3 linked regions of the Macaca fascicularis genome follow. The protein of the gene in region 3 binds, or shares a complex with, the protein of the main gene of each other region. Links are inferred from orthologs where the notes say so. Each region holds a gene or a part of one and is shown on either strand. Other genes may lie near its edges. The genes, in order: CAST, CAPNS1 and calpain-2 catalytic subunit.

Region 1 (5,220 bases), on a different chromosome or scaffold from region 3:
TCAATAAAACTTGTGTGTATGTACACATAAACACACACACATTTCAAAGAAAGTCTATGTGAAAAAGCACAGTACCTTTGCTGTGTTCTGTGAGGTTTCTGTAGTGGAGGGACAGCTATCCAGATCTCCTGAGAGAGCATCAATGGGGTCTTGGTCATCTGCAGATTTCTGAGATATGAGTAGAAATAACCATCAGTGAAGAAGCAGAAGGCAAAATGCAATATGGGGTATTTTCCCACCTCACTTACAAATAAAAGATGTTTCTATAAGAAAAACACTTACTGACATTCTATACTAATAATAATGTAAAGGAGATAGAAAAACAAGAAAATCTTGATGGCTTTTTTTCCCTCTACTTTTTAATAAATGTTGCTTAGTATTCTCTGAGCCTCAGTTTTCTATCCTAAAGGGCTTTTGTGAAGACTAAATGAGAGATAAACAATGGTCACACACATTTATATGCATGCTCTGGCGAAGTACCAGGCACAGAGTAGGCATTCAATGTTTTAGTTTTCTAAAATGCCAAATAACCCTATGGCTAGAATAAAACAAAATTTAATGGAAATATATTCCTATGGTCTTTACCTTTGATTCCTCTGATTTCTTTGTAGGTGGCTTCACTGGTTTGTCCTTAAAAAGAAGGCAGACTATTGGTTAAGCATAGATATTTGTAAAGGTTTACTTAGGTTTAGGCAGTAGAGAATCTATTATCCAATGACTTGACTTGGATAAAATGGAGTGTAGACTTGCAATAACTAATAAACCTGGGTCCCCATAATTTCTTTAGCAGCTTTGCTTAATTACTATTCTTTATAATCATATCTATAGACTTGGGGAAAACATATGAAAGAGTCCTGGAAGTGAAAGAAACACTATTTGTGAACCTTCTGCCATCATGTATTGTCACTTATAATTCTACTTAAAGTGTTATAAAAAGTTACTTGTGTTTTTATATCTTATTTACTATAGTTTATTACACTTAGAAAGTCATCAGGGATTTTTCCCAGTTTCAAAGGCAAGGACCTTAAATAAGAAATTTCCCAAAGAATGGAAGCAGGGTGAGTTGGTACTATCAAAGTGGGAAGGGCTCTCGCAGGATGTGGCATTGCTATCTTGTGGAATACTGAATGCAAGCAAGGAGAATTGGTTCCTGTAATAGGAGACCCTGAAGCTGACAGTGCTATTTAAACCAGGAATCATCTCACCAAAATGAATCAGTACAGAAAGAGAAGGGTGTAATTTGGACTTCCTTGTTTTCTGTTTGATGAACAGGCATGGAAAGGGTTATTTATCATCTAATGGACTCAAAAGTTAGAAACCAAATAGGAAAGAGGTGGGGGACAGGCCTGGTTGACCTACAAAAGACTGGTTTCTATCATGTGGGAGACAAAAGGTCAGGGACTTTTTGGCAGAGAAACAGGATTTGTGATTGGGAATATTGCTTTGCCTGTCTTCACTTGCAATAGTGCTGATGGTGATGTAGAAGAAGATAGGGAGACCCCAGGTCTTGGAGCTGCCTTATTAATTTGCCCTATTAATTATCCCAACACCAGCTCCTTTTCTACTGTCCTTAAACAGAGATTGCTTCCTTTGAAATCCTATCACCTTAGTGATTTTTATAGCCTTTTCTTGAAAGAGAGAATCACATTTCTTGGATTACTCTTAAGCATCAGTGACTGACTGAACAGTATTCAACCCTGTTTATACCACAGAGCCTAGCATATGCATATACAATGATATTGGCTCAAATAAATATTTACCTGCTGGTCAGCTTTGGTGACACATTAAAAGCAGTCAGTCATGATATGTCTTTATGCTATTGTAAAAGAGTACAGCTACTATTTATTTCAAGGAGGTTTGAATTTAAAGATCTTTGTAGCATAAATCCGATCTAGCAATTTGCCTCAGTTTACCTGTCCCTTATCATCCAGGAGATGTCTGTATTCAGGTGGGATAGTGTCATCTCTTTCTCCAAGCTTGTCTCTATGTTCAGCTTTTGCTTTTTCCTATATAAACAGTGAGCAGATAGAATTAATATTCATTTCCTCTTTCACTTAGAAAATACATTGTCAAATGTAGCATTCAGCATTTGTTGTACTTTTATGAGGCAAAACATATGGTCTGTTTTTATTATTTAAGCAACAGAACAACACAGATGACTTCAACAGACTGCTAGTTGGCTAAAATATATAATCCCATATGCTTCTGTATGTCAATTCATATCTGTGAATTTTCTAGCTATATTTTAAATGGAAATAAATGATTAAATAATTATCCTCAGAAACCATGTTAGGAGATTAGAACCCAAAGGTATAAAATATCTTTTTCTTTTTTTCTGTATGGTTTCACTTTTCTAATAAAAAAAATCAGGCCACTATACCCTGCCATTTAGAGAGGTCATATTTACAACTTTGCCTATTTATAAGCGACTTTGAAGGACGACAGCTAATTTGAATGGATGTGCTGACTGCTTGTGTTGCATGGGAGGAAGCCATGCATACGCCACACCTACCTCCCAGAATCTCCTCAGGGAGGCTCCGCTGGTATCTTTGTCACAGATTCAGTGACCTTCCCCTCCAGTGGAGTACAGATTGATTTTTCTACTTCCTTATAATTTCATGTTTAAAATATAGGTTAAATTCACATCAATATTCCTACGACAATGACAGAGTCAAGACCCAAGGATTAAAATTTCACTTATTAGTGAATTTTTTTTTTTTTTTACCTTTACTTTATCCTCCATTGGTTTGTTCTCATCTGGGTCAGGCTGCCTTTGTCCTAGACTATCGGAGAGTTTATCCAAGGCATCATCGAGGTCTTTGTCACTCTGCTAAAAAAGTAAATAATGCCGAATTAGTCACTCATTAGCCAAACTGTATCAGAGGCAAATTAGCCCAGGAACTCCATCTTTTCAGGAGGGAACCTGTTTCCTTGGAAGAAAAAGACATCTGGGGCTGGGGCTGGGGCTGGGGCAGGGGAGTAGACAGGGTCAGAGAAGAGAAGGCTAGGAATGGAAGATCAGGAGAAGAGCGGCAGCATCTGTCAACCTCTGGGGTTGGAGGGCCAGCGCCTTCCACCCACCCCGCCCATGTCTTGGTGAAGATCCCCAGGTTAAGAAGGTCTTAGTGGAAGCCTCAGGATCCATATCCAGTGGGTGACCTGGAGGTCACATAAAGGGTCCAAAAGCAAATGAACCAACCATGTGTGTCTTTCATTTAGAAATTAAACACCATTAGAAAACGATATGAAAACAAATATCCACTAATGTTGTCAGATGGTTAGGAAGCAGGATTCTGCAACTATAGAGGGTGAGCGTTTCTTTGGTTCCGTGGGTCCTCTCTAAGACTCTAAGATCTTGAGGGGTGCATTTCATAAAGTGCAGCATGACCCGCAGTTTGTGGGAAGCCATGGAGCTCGGCACTGCCATCCTAATACCTCCTAGGACGCAAAACCCCAGAGACAATCTGGGGTCAGGAGAGTGGAAGGGGCTTCTCTGCCACACTGGTATGAGTGGCCTGAAAGACTTCAGAGAATTTCTGAACTGGTGGGGATACCTCTCTTTTCATCTTTAGGAAGCTCATGGAAGCTAAATTGCAGAAATGGGAGCTGGTATTCTACACGAAAAAAATTATGGAACAACAATGTCACTGTAACTAAGATAGCTGAATTCCTCTAACATTTATTTACTGTATGATTCAGGCAGCTTATTTAACCTCTTTCGGCCTCAGCTTCCTTGGCCATAAAATGTGAATAACAGTAGTACCTATACTCCTAAGTTGCTGAGAAAAGTAAATGATTGAAAAGGCATTTAAAACAGTACTAGTTGTATGTTAGGACCCAACAAATGGTAAATTATTATTAGTATTATTATAGCAAAATCCTAAGTTTTGTTTCAAAATATTTTTCAACACATTGCATTCAAAATTCCACCTCTAAATGAATTCAATTAAAATGTGTTTAATATCTACATTGTATAAGATACCATGCTGAACTCTGTCCAATACTGTATAGAACTTTCCAGTTGATTTTCAAAGTGTTTTCACATACACTATCCAGTTTTATTTGATGCCCACAATGGTTCTTAGTGAACTAAGCAGGCTTTTTGGAGGTAAAAAGCTCAGGGAAGCTAAGTCAGTTGTTTGAAAACAAATTGTTAAAAAGTGAATAGAACCCAGGTCTTGGGACTGATAAAGGTTTTCCCTGTCATGGCTTAGTCACATCCATGATCTTCTATTTTCTTTGAAGCAGTTTTTCCTGTTGGAGTGATTTTATTACACAGATCTTTGAAAGCATGTCTTCAGATGCTTTCAGTGTATCTAACACTGCTAATAACAATCTAATAATCTCAGCAAAGAAAGCTCCCGTGAATCATCATGGCTTGACTCTTTGATTTCCCAATTTTTTATCTAAATAAAGCTTTATACCTTGTTTTAGTGACATCTTCAAATAAAATGTTAACTAAAAACAAGACTCTCTGATGGGAAATGTGATCAGAGAAGTGTCACTGGAAAACCTACTTCTTAAAGGCAAAAAAGTTTCTGATTGCAAATGTTTACTGATAGCCTCCATCAGGGCAGAATCTCTGGCCTGAATATTAAGAACTGAAGTGTAAATGGCAGCCTAGGCTATTAATGGTTCTTCCTTTCTGTTGCATGGGGACTTTTTTCATTGTGGGTGTGTTTACACACACATGCACACACACACACATACACACACACAGGGCATTTTACTGGTTTTAAGTGCTTTATTATAATCCAGGATTATAGCTGCTAATGGTAGAGCTGCCTGGGGCCAGGTCTGGGCTTTGTCATTTGTGCCTCTGGATATTTTCAGATGATCCTGAAGCTGACCCAACAGGATGAAAATCCATCAGAATCTCAGACTGCAGCACTAAATATGCTTTGATGCTACATCAAAAGGAATGGAAGCATAGCTGACTTCACTAAAGTTACTTCATCTCCATCTAGCAAATGAGGCACTGTTCTCAAGCAAAGGAGATGGGGATCTGGTTTAGGGCAATCCCTTTATAATTTGATGTTCTGTGGTCTCCTCGGTAATGTATAATTTGGTATTGCACAGGTGATTAGTCAAGGAAGTCTGGAAAAGCTTTGGTCCCACAGCCTTGCCTCACAGCATGTAAATAATTAAAACAATATTGATGCTGAGGTTCTTCTACAGCTGGTATGAAACTGACAAATTTTTACTGGTGTGAATTGGGAA
Region 2 (5,896 bases), on a different chromosome or scaffold from region 3:
CTGGTCTCGAACTCCTGACCTCAGGTGATCTGCCCACCTCGGCCTCCCAAAGTGTTGGGATTACAGGCATGAGCCACCACGCCTGACCTTTATCTATAACTTGAGACAAATGACTGCTTCTCTCAGGAAACTGAGCCTCAGTTTCCTCATCTGTAAAATGGAGTATAATAATTGTGCCTGTCCAACAGGGTGGTTGTGAAGGTTCGGTCACTTTATATAATTAAAGTGCCAGCTGTAACAGCTGGCATTGTTATGATTTACTGCCACATGTCTGTAGGTGAGTGTGCTCTGATGAATGCATTTCCACATCTGTGGATATGAAGGCTACACATTGGCTTTCCAAACATACTCTCAAAAAACTCCCTGTGCACCCAGGGCCTCTCCCACACTGCTCCCAAGGATACATCCATCACGGCCACCATGCTGCGACACGTGTCAATGCCAAAACCATCAGTCTTCAGATCAGGGTCTGTGGGCAACAGGTTGAAAGTCAGAGGCCAGAGGCCAAAGCCACTCAGGCCCCTCTGCCTCTAAACCTACCCTATTCCTTGAGCCCGGTCACTTACGTCGTGTCACAACCTTATTGAGAATGTTCATGAGTTCTGTGGCGCTGACCTCCATGTCCTGCAGACGGAAGTTAGGGGCAAGTCAGGCGTGACTGAAGGGTCTGAGAATGTCATGGAGAATGGGAACACTGGGATTGTCACGGTCAAGGGTGTGTGCGCAAGGGCAGCCACAAGGGAAGGGATGGAAGGGTTAGGACGGGGTCAGGGAACCCCAGGTTACTTACATCTCCAGCCAGCTGGGCAAAGAGTCTCCGGAACTGCCGGACCTCCTCACTCTCGTTGGCCTCAATGTTGGAGTAATGTGTGCGTGGGGGCTGCAGAGGGAGGAGAGCTCAGAGCAGGGGGAGGGGAACCCGGCCAGGACGGCTCCCCACACCAAGGCACCCTGGGTGAGAAAGTCAGAGTGGGCTGGGCAGCTTGATGAGAAAAAGAATGAGAGGTGGTAGTGAATGGGTGCGCGTATGTGGGGCATGGCTAAGACCCATGGCGAAGCTGCGGACATGGCACGGGAGGAACTGGCAGAGGAATTTCACAAGAAGGGGAGGAAGGTGGGACTTCTCTACAGGAACAGGAATGGGACCTCGAAGAGGCCTTGGCAGGAGAAGGGGGTCTGGTTGCAGAGTGGGCTTACCGGGGGCTCCGGGTTGTATTGCGCAGCCGCCTCGCTGCGAAGAGATAAGGGGGAGGGGTTAGTGTCGGGGGCGGGGCCTCCAACGGGCAGTACTACAGAACCATCAGCCCCAACGCTCCAGATGTCAGCCGCTATCTTCCTTACTTGGTTGCTGTGCCCTTCATCTGTTCTTGTCCTCATCTGTCCCAATCCACATGGCCCTGGTCGTGCCCCTCTTCTCCCTTCCTCAGGCCAACCCCACCCTTCAGGAGACCCAGAGATCCGTCCCCTGGGAGGCTCCACTCCTGCCAGGCACACCTACCCAGTGGCAGATTCCAGTCATCTCGGCCACCCTCAACCTAAAAATCCCACACAGAATCAAAAACCCCCGCCCCTTGGAGGGCTCACTTCATAGAGGCTCTGCCCCAGCTTCCCAAGGTCTTATCCTCCTTAGGTGCCATCTGCCCAAGACTCTACTCCATGGCCCCCTTCCTAAACACCTGTCTTCCCAACATCCTACCCCAGCCATTGGTCCCCGTCCCTTCAAGGGATCACTGCTCAGTGGCCATGACTAATTAGGCCAACCTGCCCTACCCCTACCAGGGCATTTTTCTCCATTAATCCCGCCAGTTCCCAGCAAGCCCAGCCCATTCTGGGCTATTTCCTCTATCCCATTAGGTCTTGCTTTCTCCTGGGCTCACCTCCTCATTAACCCACCTAAAACCTCTGACCACACTCATAAGTCAAGCCCCGACCGTAAAATGTCACTCAGACGCATTGGCTCCGCCCCTTTAACGTTCATCTCCAGGTTAGCCAATGCAGGCCGGGCCCAGACCCATAAGCCCCACCCTCCAAAACTCCACATCGGTCCCCTCAGGACCACATTGTCCTGGTCCCACACAATCAGACTACTCCCGTATCAAGCCCCGCTCCCAAGGACTGATATCCGCCTCATTGGGGTCCACCCCCTTATAACAGGACTCTCAAACTAGGCCACCCCGGCCTAATTCAGGTACCCAGGTTAGCCTCCAGGTTAATCCTATTATTGTTAGACCACGCCCCTCCCGGACCACGCCCCCTGAGGCACCTCCCATTCACACTTCCAGGCCCCGCCCCTCCGATAGTCGCCGCCTTACCTGATGGCGCTGATGACTCCGCCTAGGATGCGCATGGCAGTTCCACCGCCACCGCCGCCTCCGCCGCCGCCTCCACCACCGCCGCCGCCGCCCCCGGCCCCGCTGATCAGGCCTCCAAGCACATTCCCCAGGCCCCCACCCAGGCCCCCGCCTGCCCCGCCGCCGCCGCCGCCGCCCTTCAAGAACGAGTTAACCAGGAACATGGCTGCGACTCACTGCTGGGGGGAAAAAAGGGGACCAGTGGGTGCTTCGCCCCTGAGCCCACACCCTCCCCTCAAACACGCATTTCCGGCAGCTGGACACGGGAGAAGGGATCTGAGGCCTCCGGATGGGGGTCTGAGTTTGCGAGGGCGGGTTGTCCTCGCAAGGTTTGCAACCTCCTCGGGTCTAAAAGGCACCCGTGGGCTTGAGGGAGCCTGGACTGGGTGCACGCGTTAACGGGAGGGTGTAGGTCTGGTGGGGGTTCTCTTGGTGGGGACCCCAAGTTGGCGTAAGGCGTGCCCGACGTGTCTGGGCGCTAGAATGTGAGATCCAGAGCCCAGACTGAATGTAAAGGTCCTTGGCGGGTCATGGGCGCGGAGCAAACATCCACCGCCTAAAGGGCCCCAGGGCGGGGTTTAGGAAATCCTAAATGTGGGCTTGAGAATTCAGGTATTCCCAGCGGCAGGATTCCAGTGTCACCTCTGGCTTTGTGGGCTCGGGTCTAAGATCGTGGCTGTGAGCCCTGGGTTCCCGGATAATGGGGTCCCTCGCTGGAACTGGGGGCACAGATCTACGATCGTGGTTCAAGACACCCCAAGGAAGAATTCACAGGGTATCTCTGAAACCTATGGGCCTGTATTTTGGATCATGAGACAGAGGGTGGAGAAGTAGGGGACGTCCCCGGGACGGCATGAAAGGGTGTCGAACAGGTCTGAGGGTTCGAATCTGAGACCATGGATCTGGGGGGCTCCTGAGGCCGAGACTTCACGGTTCGCCAGGTCTGGGGGCCGCCAAAGCCGGAATTGCGGGGTGCGGAGGGGGTACGGGCTGGGCGCTTACCACCTCACGCGTCCAAAGGTCTGGGAGTCCGTTCCGCTGCCGCTCCCGGGCCTCCCGCAGCGTCCGGCTCCTGAGGGCGGGGCCGGTGACTCAGGCCGCAACTCTCGGGTCTGACACTGCACCGCGGCCCGGCTGTCTCCCGCGCGGTCCTAGAGCCGAAGCGGACATTGCGCATGCGCACCCCACATCGCCCTGCTAGCGGGACCCGGATTTGGGCCCCGCCCTACACGTTTCCAGCGCCGGAGGTCTTAACCCCGCCCTGACTCGGTAGGCTGGGGTCTTCCCGACACCCCTCAGGTCTGGGTGCAGGCGCCGGGTGATGAGAACTCGGAGGAGACCCACACCCCCCCAGTGTCGTAGTGTGACAGCCCCTAGGGCCTGCCAATATCCTTCCAGGGTGGCAGTTTTCGGTCCGCTCACTAAGGGACTCCGCACGGGCCCTTTCCAGGTGTTGTCGCGACAAACACCTCCTGGAGGCCTGTAGTATGCTTTGGCTCACACGCAGGAGGACAATCGCCCGTGTCTGTGGCGAGGACTGAGGCTGGAGTGCCTTTCCCAGTGCCTGCAGCAGCCCGGATGGCAGTCAAACCGCAGGCAGCGCAGGCGCCGCCTCCCAGGCGAACCTTACCACGTCCCGCCCCAGTCAGGGGCCACATGAATCATTCCTTCCTGGACTGGCCCAAAGGGTGTCCTCAGTATGCTAGTGTCTAAAGAAGGCCCCAGACACAGGAAGATTCCTTTGGCGGCGGCCGGGTTTCTTTATTTACTTAAAAAATATTGTTGTTTTTACGTAATAGAGACGGAGGTCTAGCCATGTTGCTCAGGCTGCTCTTGAACTCCGGGCCTCAAGCCATCTCTGCCCTCAAGCCATCCTCCTGCCTCAGCTTCCCAAAGTACTGGGAGGTACTGGGAATACAGGTATGGGCTACCGGCCTTTTTTTGATTTAATTTAATTTTTAACAATATTGTTTTTACATAGCCTGGTTTTTTTCTTTCTTTTCTTTTTTTTTTTTTTTGAGACAGCATCTTGCTCTGTTGCCCAGGCTGGAGTGCAATGGCGCCATCTTGGCTCACTGCAGTCTCCGCCTCCCAGGTTCAAGCGATTCTCCTGCCTCAACCTCCCGAGTAGCTAGGATTACAGGCGTGCACCACCACGCCCAGCTAATTTTTGTATTTTTGGTAGAGACGGGGTTTCGCCATGTTGACCAGGCTAGTCTCAAACTCCTGATCTTAGGTGATCCACCCGCCTCGGCCTGCCAAAGTGCTGGGATTACAGGCGTGAGCCACAGGTGTCCAGTACTTTTTCAGGACTCCTCAGGGGCAGCTAAATATGGCCCCCAGGCAGGCTGGTTGGCTCTTAGTCCCTACCCTGGAGGCTGGCTAGGCTTGAGTTGAATCCTGGCTATGCCCTGTAATAACTGCACAACCCCAAAACAGTGACTTGATATTCCTGAGCAGCAATTTTCTCATCTGTAAAATGTGATCATGGGTTGCTCCATACCACTAGGCCCCCTATCAAAATTAAATGATATCGGCAGAGCACGGTGGCTCAAGCCTGTAATCCCAGCACTTTGGGAGGCCGAGACTCGTGGATCACGAGGTCAGGAGATTGAGATCATCCTGGCTAACCCAGTGAAACCCCGTCTGTACTAAAAAATTCAAAAAACTAGCCGGGCGAGGTGGCGGGCGCCTGTAGTCCCAGCTACTAGGGAGGCTGAGGCAAGAGAATGGCGTGAATCCGGGAGGCGGAGCTTGCAGTGAGCTGAGATCCGGGCACTGCACTCCAGCCTGGGCGACAGAGCGAGACTCCGTCTCAAAAAAAAAAAAAAAAAAAAAAAATTAAATGATATCTGCAGGAATACTGATTATTAAAAAAAAACTTAAAGCAGTGGCTGGGTGTGATAGTTCATGCCTGTATGCCCTGCACTTTGGGAGGCTGAGGCAGAAGGATCTCTTGAGCTCAGGAGTTCGACTCCAGCCTGGGCAATATAGTGAGAACTTGTCTCTACAAATAATAATAATATAGAAATTAGCTGAGTGTGGTGGCATGTGCCTAGTCCCAGCTACTCTGGAGACAGGTGGGAGGATCACCAGAGCCCAAGAGGCAGAGGTTACAGTGAGCCGAGATCATGCCACTGCACTACAATCTGGGTGACAGAGCGAGACACTGTCTCAAATAAATAAATAGCTGGGCACAGTGACTCACGCCTGAAATCCCAGAATTTTGGGATGCCGAGTTGGGCAGATCACCTGAGGTCAGGAGTTCAAGACAATCTGACTAACATGGAGAAACCCTGTCTCTACTAAAAAATACAAAATTAGCCGGACATGGTGGCACATGCCCGTAATCCCAGTTACTCAGGAGGCTGAGGCAGGAGAATCGCTTGAACCCAGTAGGCAGAGGTTTCAGTGAACCAAGATTGCACCATTGCACTCCAGTCTAGGCAACAAGAGTGAAACTCCATCTCAAATAAATAAATAAATAAATAAATAGGTGATAAATGCTTTGTAAATGCCAGCTATTAGCTCTATGTCTGTGCCCA
Region 3 (5,990 bases):
CGCAGAGGACATTCCCTTCATGCCTCTGCCTTGTTGCTCTCTGCTCCTATTGGTTTTGGGGATGGCAGAGAGAATCAGAATGCTCTTTTGCTGAGGCAAAAGAAGCCAGCTTGGCCCAAGGCCTGTCAGCGAGCTCTTATCCAGCTGATGGAATAGATTGGGCTTGGTGCTGGGAGCCTGTTTATTATAAAGAATCACAGTGATAATCCTGAGTGTGCCAGGCACTTACCCCAGCAGGGTTTTTCCATTATACTTCAGAAACTTTCGAATGCCGTTAGCAGACTCTAGAGAAGTCAGAGTTCAGAGTGGTGCTGAGCGATGCTTCAGAAAACTGAAACTTGCGCACAGCATGTAGTGCATCGAATCAAATATGGGACTTACCAGTCAGTGAAAAGGGGTTGAGGGTTTGGGCTTTGCTGCATTATTCTGATAACCTGGGTTTAAATCCGGGCTCTGCCACTTATTGTATAGGTCCTAGGACCCTGGAAAGTCACCTAATCTTTTGAAGCCTCAGTTTTTTCACCTGCAAAATGGGAACAATGAAAATACCCAACTCAGAGGATTGTTCTGAGTGTTAAATGAGATAATGATGTAAACATGCCCTGGCAAGCACTCCATAAATGTGATCTATTATTACTACTGTTGAAGAAGTTGATGATAACAGTCACTGAACTTGGAGACAGGACATATGGGTTTGAGGCTGAGTTTGGCCAGCTGAAGATAAGCAAGTGAGAAACCTCTCAGAGGTTTGATTTTCTTGGGGGAAACATAGGGGCTCACAATATCTGCCCTTGCTCCTAATGGACTGGTTGCTGGGAGGATCTGATGTGCCACCCGGATCACGCCTGCTTTCTCCTCACTGTGCCCCTGCATGGTCCTTGGACCCCACTGGACTTACTGCTTTAATCCCCCTTCCAGGTGCTGGAGCCACTCTTGCCAGTGTTGTGAAATCCTCTCTCCGAGGAAGAGCAGCTCCTCCTGCTGCAAGGCTAACCTGCTCCCCTCTCCTGCCCACAACCCGTATTCTCACTTCCTCAGGGACCCTGTTTCACTGCCCCTCCCTGCCTTTATCTTTAATCCCTTCCTCCTCGTGATTCAACATGTGACACATTCAAGTTGTTCTCATATGAAAAAAAAAAAACCGGCTCTCAAAATCCAGGTCCTGCTCTACCTATCAGTTCTCCTCTCTTCCCAGGGGCCCTTCTTAAATGAGTTGATCACGTTCTTCATTTCCAGTTCCTTTACTCTGGAGTCTATAACAATCTGGCTTCTACCCTCACCTTTCCATTGAAATTGCTCTGCTAAACTCACCAATGACCTGCTAGTGTTCAAATCCAGTGGAAACAATTGTGCTCTCCTTGCCAGACCTCAGCAGCATTTGAGAAGGTAGGATAGAGGCAGACAACGCAGCCATAAAGGGTGGGCTCAACATGCACAGACTACACACAGTCCTGGATCTATGGCCTATATCCACTTGACTCTGAGCAAGGATTTAACCTTCCCAAGCCTCAATTTCTTCAACTGGCAAATGGGGATCGTAATAGTCACACTCTTCCTTGGTAGTGCAGTGCACAGCCCGCCTGCCCTAAGCAGTGGCCCTAGATCATCTCTAGACCTCTATATCCTCATCTGGAAGTCCCACAGGCATTTCCAACTGTTGGGGGACCTGTCTCTGTCACCTCACTAGCCTCAGAAGTAAGTCTTCAGAAGCAGAAACCATATGCATTGTGCCTAGCATATAGGAGGTATTCGAGAAATGCTTATTGAATGAACGAAAGAATAAGTGAATGAGTGTGAACTCACTGTGTAAACTGTAAAGTGCCATGCAAATGTAAAGTGAACACATTCTCTTGGTTTGCGTTTCATTTTTTTTTTTTTTTTTACTTTTTTTATAGAGACAAGTCTTACTGTGTTGCCCGGGCTGGTCTTGAACTCCTGGCTCAAGTGATCCTCCCACCTTGGCCTCCCATAGTGCTGGGATTACAGGCGTGAGGCACCACGTCAGGTCAGTTTACCACTTTCGCAACCATAATTTCATCTGAGGCTCATTACAATCCTGCATCCATTCATTCTACAGTCACTTCTTTTGTGTTCACTAGTGTATCTCCTGAGCTCTCAGGACAGTGCCTGGCATGTAATAGGTGCTCCATCAATGTTGTTGAATGAATGAGTGAATGAATGAATGGATGAATACTGTGAAAGGCATGGCTATGTGCTAGGCACTGGGGATATACTGGTAAATAATATACACATGATTCCTGCAGTTCAGTAGGAAGAACAAATACATGTGATTATATTTCTAAACTGTGACAATGCTATGAAGGAAATGAGTGGGGTGAGAGTTAGAGAATAACAAGGTGGGGAGGTGGCTGCTAAGAAGGGTCAGAAAATACCTGTTTGAGGAGGGAACATGTGACTAAGTTGGAAAGAATGAGAGTGAGCCACACTCCAGGTAAGAGCGTGCCTTGCTGGTGAGAAGGCCTCGTGCAGGCAAGAACTGGCTCTTTGAGAGACTGAAAGGAGGCCAGGATGGCAGGGTCTGGAGGGCCACGAAAGAGAGAAAATATCTAGGCAGGGTGTGTTATTTTAGATGAAGACACGGAGGCACAGAGAGTTTAAACCGCTTCCTCAAGGTCACCCAGCAGGTTAGCAAGAAGGTGAATCCAAGTGCTCTGAGTCTGGGCTAGGGTGCTTCCTGCAGCCCTCGCTACCTATGAGCTGGATTTAGGGAAACAGAAGGTGACCTGGGAGGCTGCCGGGTGTGGAAGCAGAGCTGGAAGGCTTGTTCTCATAACAGGAATCTAGAAGTTGGACTTCAGGCAGGCTTCCCTAGGCGTGGTAGGGGAAGCCTGGGGAAGTCCCAAAGGAGGCGGTTCCCCAAGAAACGGAATGGACAAGTAGATTGGGGAGGGCAAGTTGTCCCAGGGCCGGGAGGTCAGAGACCCTGGGGGACGGGATAATGGGGTCTGGAGGGCTCCCGGAGCTTTCCCCAGTGAGGATTCCCACCAGGCAAACCATGAGACACCTCCGTGTCCTGGGTTAATTACCATTGTCGATGTTATGGGGAGGTATCGCTGGCTCCCCTTTGGAAAAATAAATGTAACCCCAGGGCTGCATGAGACTATCCTTAGTCACAAAATGACCAGGCTCTGGCCTGTCCCCCTCCACGAACAGACAGAACCCCAGTTGGAGACGGACTTTGTCTGGTGGATGTTGCCTCTCCCTTCTCTGCAGACCCGATTCCCCTCCTCTTCCAGGTCCCCGCTACAGTTCAATTACAAGTTTCACCCCGGCCTCCTGTGTCACCCTGAGTTTTTGTGAAGTCCTAAATTGGCCTGCTAGTGGGATTTGAGTGCAGTGATTCGCCCCGACCCGCCCAGGAAAGCGTGGTGGGTGGAAGAGAGGGCAGGCCCCGTGAGTTCCCCCACGCTCGAAAGGAGTCCCAGACTCCGGTGGCGTGTAGGTGTCGCAGGCCTGCGGGGTCCTGGCTTGCGGCTTCCCCACTGCAGCCGCGCCCCAGCGCGCCGCGGGCCAGCTGCACCCCTCCCTGCCCGGCACCCCGCCCTGCCCGCGTCCTGCCGCGCACTTCCTACCGTGGGTCGCTTCCACTCGATGCCCCGGGTTTTGCTGGAGTAGGGCCCCAACTCCTTGAAGCCCAGGGCCGAGGGGATGGCTGGGAAGGAGGGGTCCTGGAAGAGCGTCCCGGCCTCCAGGCACTCGTTCCGCAGCGCCTCATAGTCCTGGTTGAGGTACTTGATGGCCCTCTCGTGGGAGCCCAGCCCCTCGGCCGCCTCCCGGTCCTTCACCAGCTTGGCCGCGATGCCCGCCATGCTGCGGCCCCGGCGGCCGTGCTGCTCACAGAAAGGTCGGGGCGACTTCGCGCTGCGCTCGGCTGGGGCGCGGCCAGGGCCCGGCGCGCTGCTGCGGACACTGCGGGCGCAGCCACTGCGAGCGATGATTCACCGGAGGGAAGCGGCCCGGCCCGCGGGGTGTGGCCTCAGCCGCTCCCGGCCTGATGGGCTCCCGGCCCGGGACCAGGCCAGCCTGCGGCCTGCGGAGCGCCGGGACCGCCGCGACCCGGGGCCAGTGCTGCCATCTGCGGACAGCTCCCGGGATGGCGCGGCCTGGCGCCGGGAAGGCTCGCGAATCGCGGTCCAGAGTTGGGGCTCCCACCGGAACCCGAGGCCACCTTTACACTCAATGCGGAGGAAGGCTGGGCGACACCGGAGGCTAGGGTAGTTGTGGCCGTCCAGAAAACACCCGGGGAGTTAGCAGAGGATCAGGTAGTGAAGTTGAGGAAACTAAATCAGCTGCCCTGAACCTTGTGCCAAACACCGTCTTAACGGCTCTGCATACATCATCTCATTCAATCCTCCCAGCAACTCTGAAGAAGGCACTGATATTGTTCCCATCTTACAGATGAGAAAACTGAGCCTCAGAGAGGCTAAATGACTTCCCAATGTGGCACAACGGTCACAGGCAGAACAGGGACTCTAAGCCACGGAGGCCTGTTGCAATCACGATGCTGCAGTTACTACTGCTCAGCTGTTTATTTGATTACAGATAGGGTTGTCAGATTTGGCCAGTAAGGCTGGGCGCGGTGGCTCACGCCTGTAATCCCAACACTTTGGGAGGCTGGAGGCAGGTGGATCACCTGAGGTCAGGAGTTCGAGACCAGCCTGGCCAACATGGTGAAACCCCGTCTCTACTAAAAATACGTTGTGGCAGGTGCCTGTGACCCCAGTTACTTGGGAGGCTGGGACAGGAGAATTGCTTGAACCCAGGAGGCAGAAGTTGCAGTGAGACGAGATCGCGCCACTACACTCCAGCCTGGGTGACAAAGCAAAACACCGTATCAAAAATAAAATAATATAATATAAAATAAAAAGATTTGGCCAATAAAACAACAGCCCTCCCAAATGTTTAATTTGAATTTCAGATAAACAACAGATACTTTTAAAGTATATGTAGGCCCCAAATATTGCATGGGTATACATACTTATACTAAAAGAAAATATGATTCATTGTTTATCTGAAACTCATATTTAACTGGTAGGATGAGTTGGGTTACTGTTGGAGAGGGCTTAGAATAGTGCCTGTGTTGGCTACTGTGACCACTCTGTTGTGGAGTCAGGGTGTGATTCTCAGCTCACACACAGAGACATGGGTGCGTGCCAAGAAATGCAGATGGGAAGAAATTACCTCCTCTCCTTCTCTACAGTAGTAGGAAGGAATTTGGGTTTCACTGGAAAATTGTGCATGGTGTACAGCAGTGGTTCTCCACTGGGGCAGTTGTGTCCCATATCCCACCCCAGGAAACATTTGGGAATGTCTGGAGATAGTTTTTATTGTCACAGCTAGGAGATGAGGTGCTACTGGCCTTTACTAAGTAGAAGTTAGGGATGCTACTAAGCATCTTACAATGTCCGGGATAACTCTTGTGAACCCAGAAAACCTGAAACAGGTCTCAGTTAATTTAGAAAGTTAATTTTGCCATGGTTGAAGACGCACACCTGTGACACAGGAAGCCCTGAGGACACGTGCCCAAGGTGGTTGGGGTGCAGCTTGGATTTATACATGTTAGGGAGGCAAGAATCATCAATTAAGTACATTTAAGAAATACATTGGTTTGGTTCAGAATGGCAGGACAACTCAAAGTGAGGTGGTGGGGGGTGGGGGCGTGGGTGGGGGCAGTGGGAGTGGCTTCCAGGATATAGGTAAATATTTTAACATTTTCTGGTTGACAATTGGTTAAGTTTGCCTAAAGGCCTGGGATCAATAGAAAGGAATGTTTGGGTTGCAATAAGAGGTTGTGGAGACAAAAGTTTTATCACATAGATGAAACTTTTAACTAGCAGGCTTCAGAGTGAACAGGCTGTAAAATGTTTCTTATCAGACCTAAAGCCTGCATTGATGTTCACACCGGAGAGGTATAATGAGGCATGTCTAACCTCCCCTTTCCTTCATGGCCTGAAAATTTCAGGTTAAAA

Evidence for each region.
Region 1: the proteins of calpain-2 catalytic subunit (region 3) and CAST are in contact, whole or in part, in a crystal structure (PDB 3BOW), measured with the Rattus norvegicus proteins. The link is inferred for Macaca fascicularis from reciprocal best matches to the Homo sapiens genes CAPN2 and CAST. Residues at the interface, in NP_058812.1 of Rattus norvegicus: Glu62, Leu63, Ser68, Lys69, Gln99, Gly100, Ala101, Leu102, Gly103, Trp106, Lys161, Asp162, Leu165, Leu166, His169, Ser196, Gly197, Gly198, Thr200, Ser241, Asp243, Ile244, Thr245, Asp249, Ser250, Glu251, Ala252, Val253, Val259, Lys260; in NP_445747.2 of Rattus norvegicus: Glu571, Leu572, Asp573, Ala575, Leu576, Asp577, Glu578, Leu579, Ser580, Ser582, Leu583, Gly584, Gln585, Arg586, Gln587, Pro588, Leu596, Asp597, Asp598, Lys599, Val600, Lys601, Glu602, Lys603, Ile604, Lys605, Ala606, Glu607, His608, Ser609.
Region 2: the proteins of calpain-2 catalytic subunit (region 3) and CAPNS1 are in contact, whole or in part, in a crystal structure (PDB 1KFU), measured with the Homo sapiens proteins. The link is inferred for Macaca fascicularis from reciprocal best matches to the Homo sapiens genes CAPN2 and CAPNS1. Residues at the interface, in NP_001739.3 of Homo sapiens: Ala2, Gly3, Ile4, Ala5, Lys7, Leu8, Ala9, Arg12, Glu13, Glu16, Phe60, Arg366, Arg416, Arg417, Arg418, Arg420, Asp494, Ile516, Phe551, Glu575, Lys578, Val581, Asp582, Asp585, Gly588, Ser589, Gly590, Gln641, Leu642, Gln644; in NP_001003962.1 of Homo sapiens: Thr85, His86, Ser88, Asp111, Asp112, Met113, Glu114, Ser116, Thr118, Asp142, Arg145, Ser146, Ala149, Val150, Met151, Asp152, Ser153, Asp154, Thr155, Thr156, Gly157, Gly160, Phe161, Glu163, Asn206, His208, Leu209, Met212, Ile213, Arg215.

Annotation. Positions count from the first base shown.
Region 1 is NC_088380.1:100,740,066-100,745,285, reverse strand, and holds part of CAST (calpastatin), read right to left. Parts: intron 2,831-5,220; coding exon 2,726-2,830; intron 2,007-2,725; coding exon 1,914-2,006; intron 631-1,913; coding exon 586-630; intron 169-585; coding exon 76-168; intron 1-75.
Region 2 is NC_088393.1:43,384,687-43,390,582, reverse strand, and holds the start of CAPNS1 (calpain small subunit 1), read right to left. Parts: upstream 3,446-5,896; 5' UTR 3,354-3,445; intron 2,531-3,353; exon of another isoform or gene 2,528-2,530; 5' UTR 2,516-2,527; coding exon 2,313-2,515; intron 1,232-2,312; coding exon 1,198-1,231; intron 881-1,197; coding exon 791-880; intron 625-790; coding exon 567-624; intron 470-566; coding exon 405-469; intron 1-404. UniProt on the Homo sapiens protein: Regulatory subunit of the calcium-regulated non-lysosomal thiol-protease which catalyzes limited proteolysis of substrates involved in cytoskeletal remodeling and signal transduction. Essential for embryonic development.
Region 3 is NC_088375.1:81,673,687-81,679,676, reverse strand, and holds the start of calpain-2 catalytic subunit, read right to left. Parts: upstream 3,933-5,990; 5' UTR 3,831-3,932; coding exon 3,594-3,830; intron 1-3,593. UniProt on the Homo sapiens protein: Calcium-regulated non-lysosomal thiol-protease which catalyzes limited proteolysis of substrates involved in cytoskeletal remodeling and signal transduction. Proteolytically cleaves MYOC at 'Arg-226'.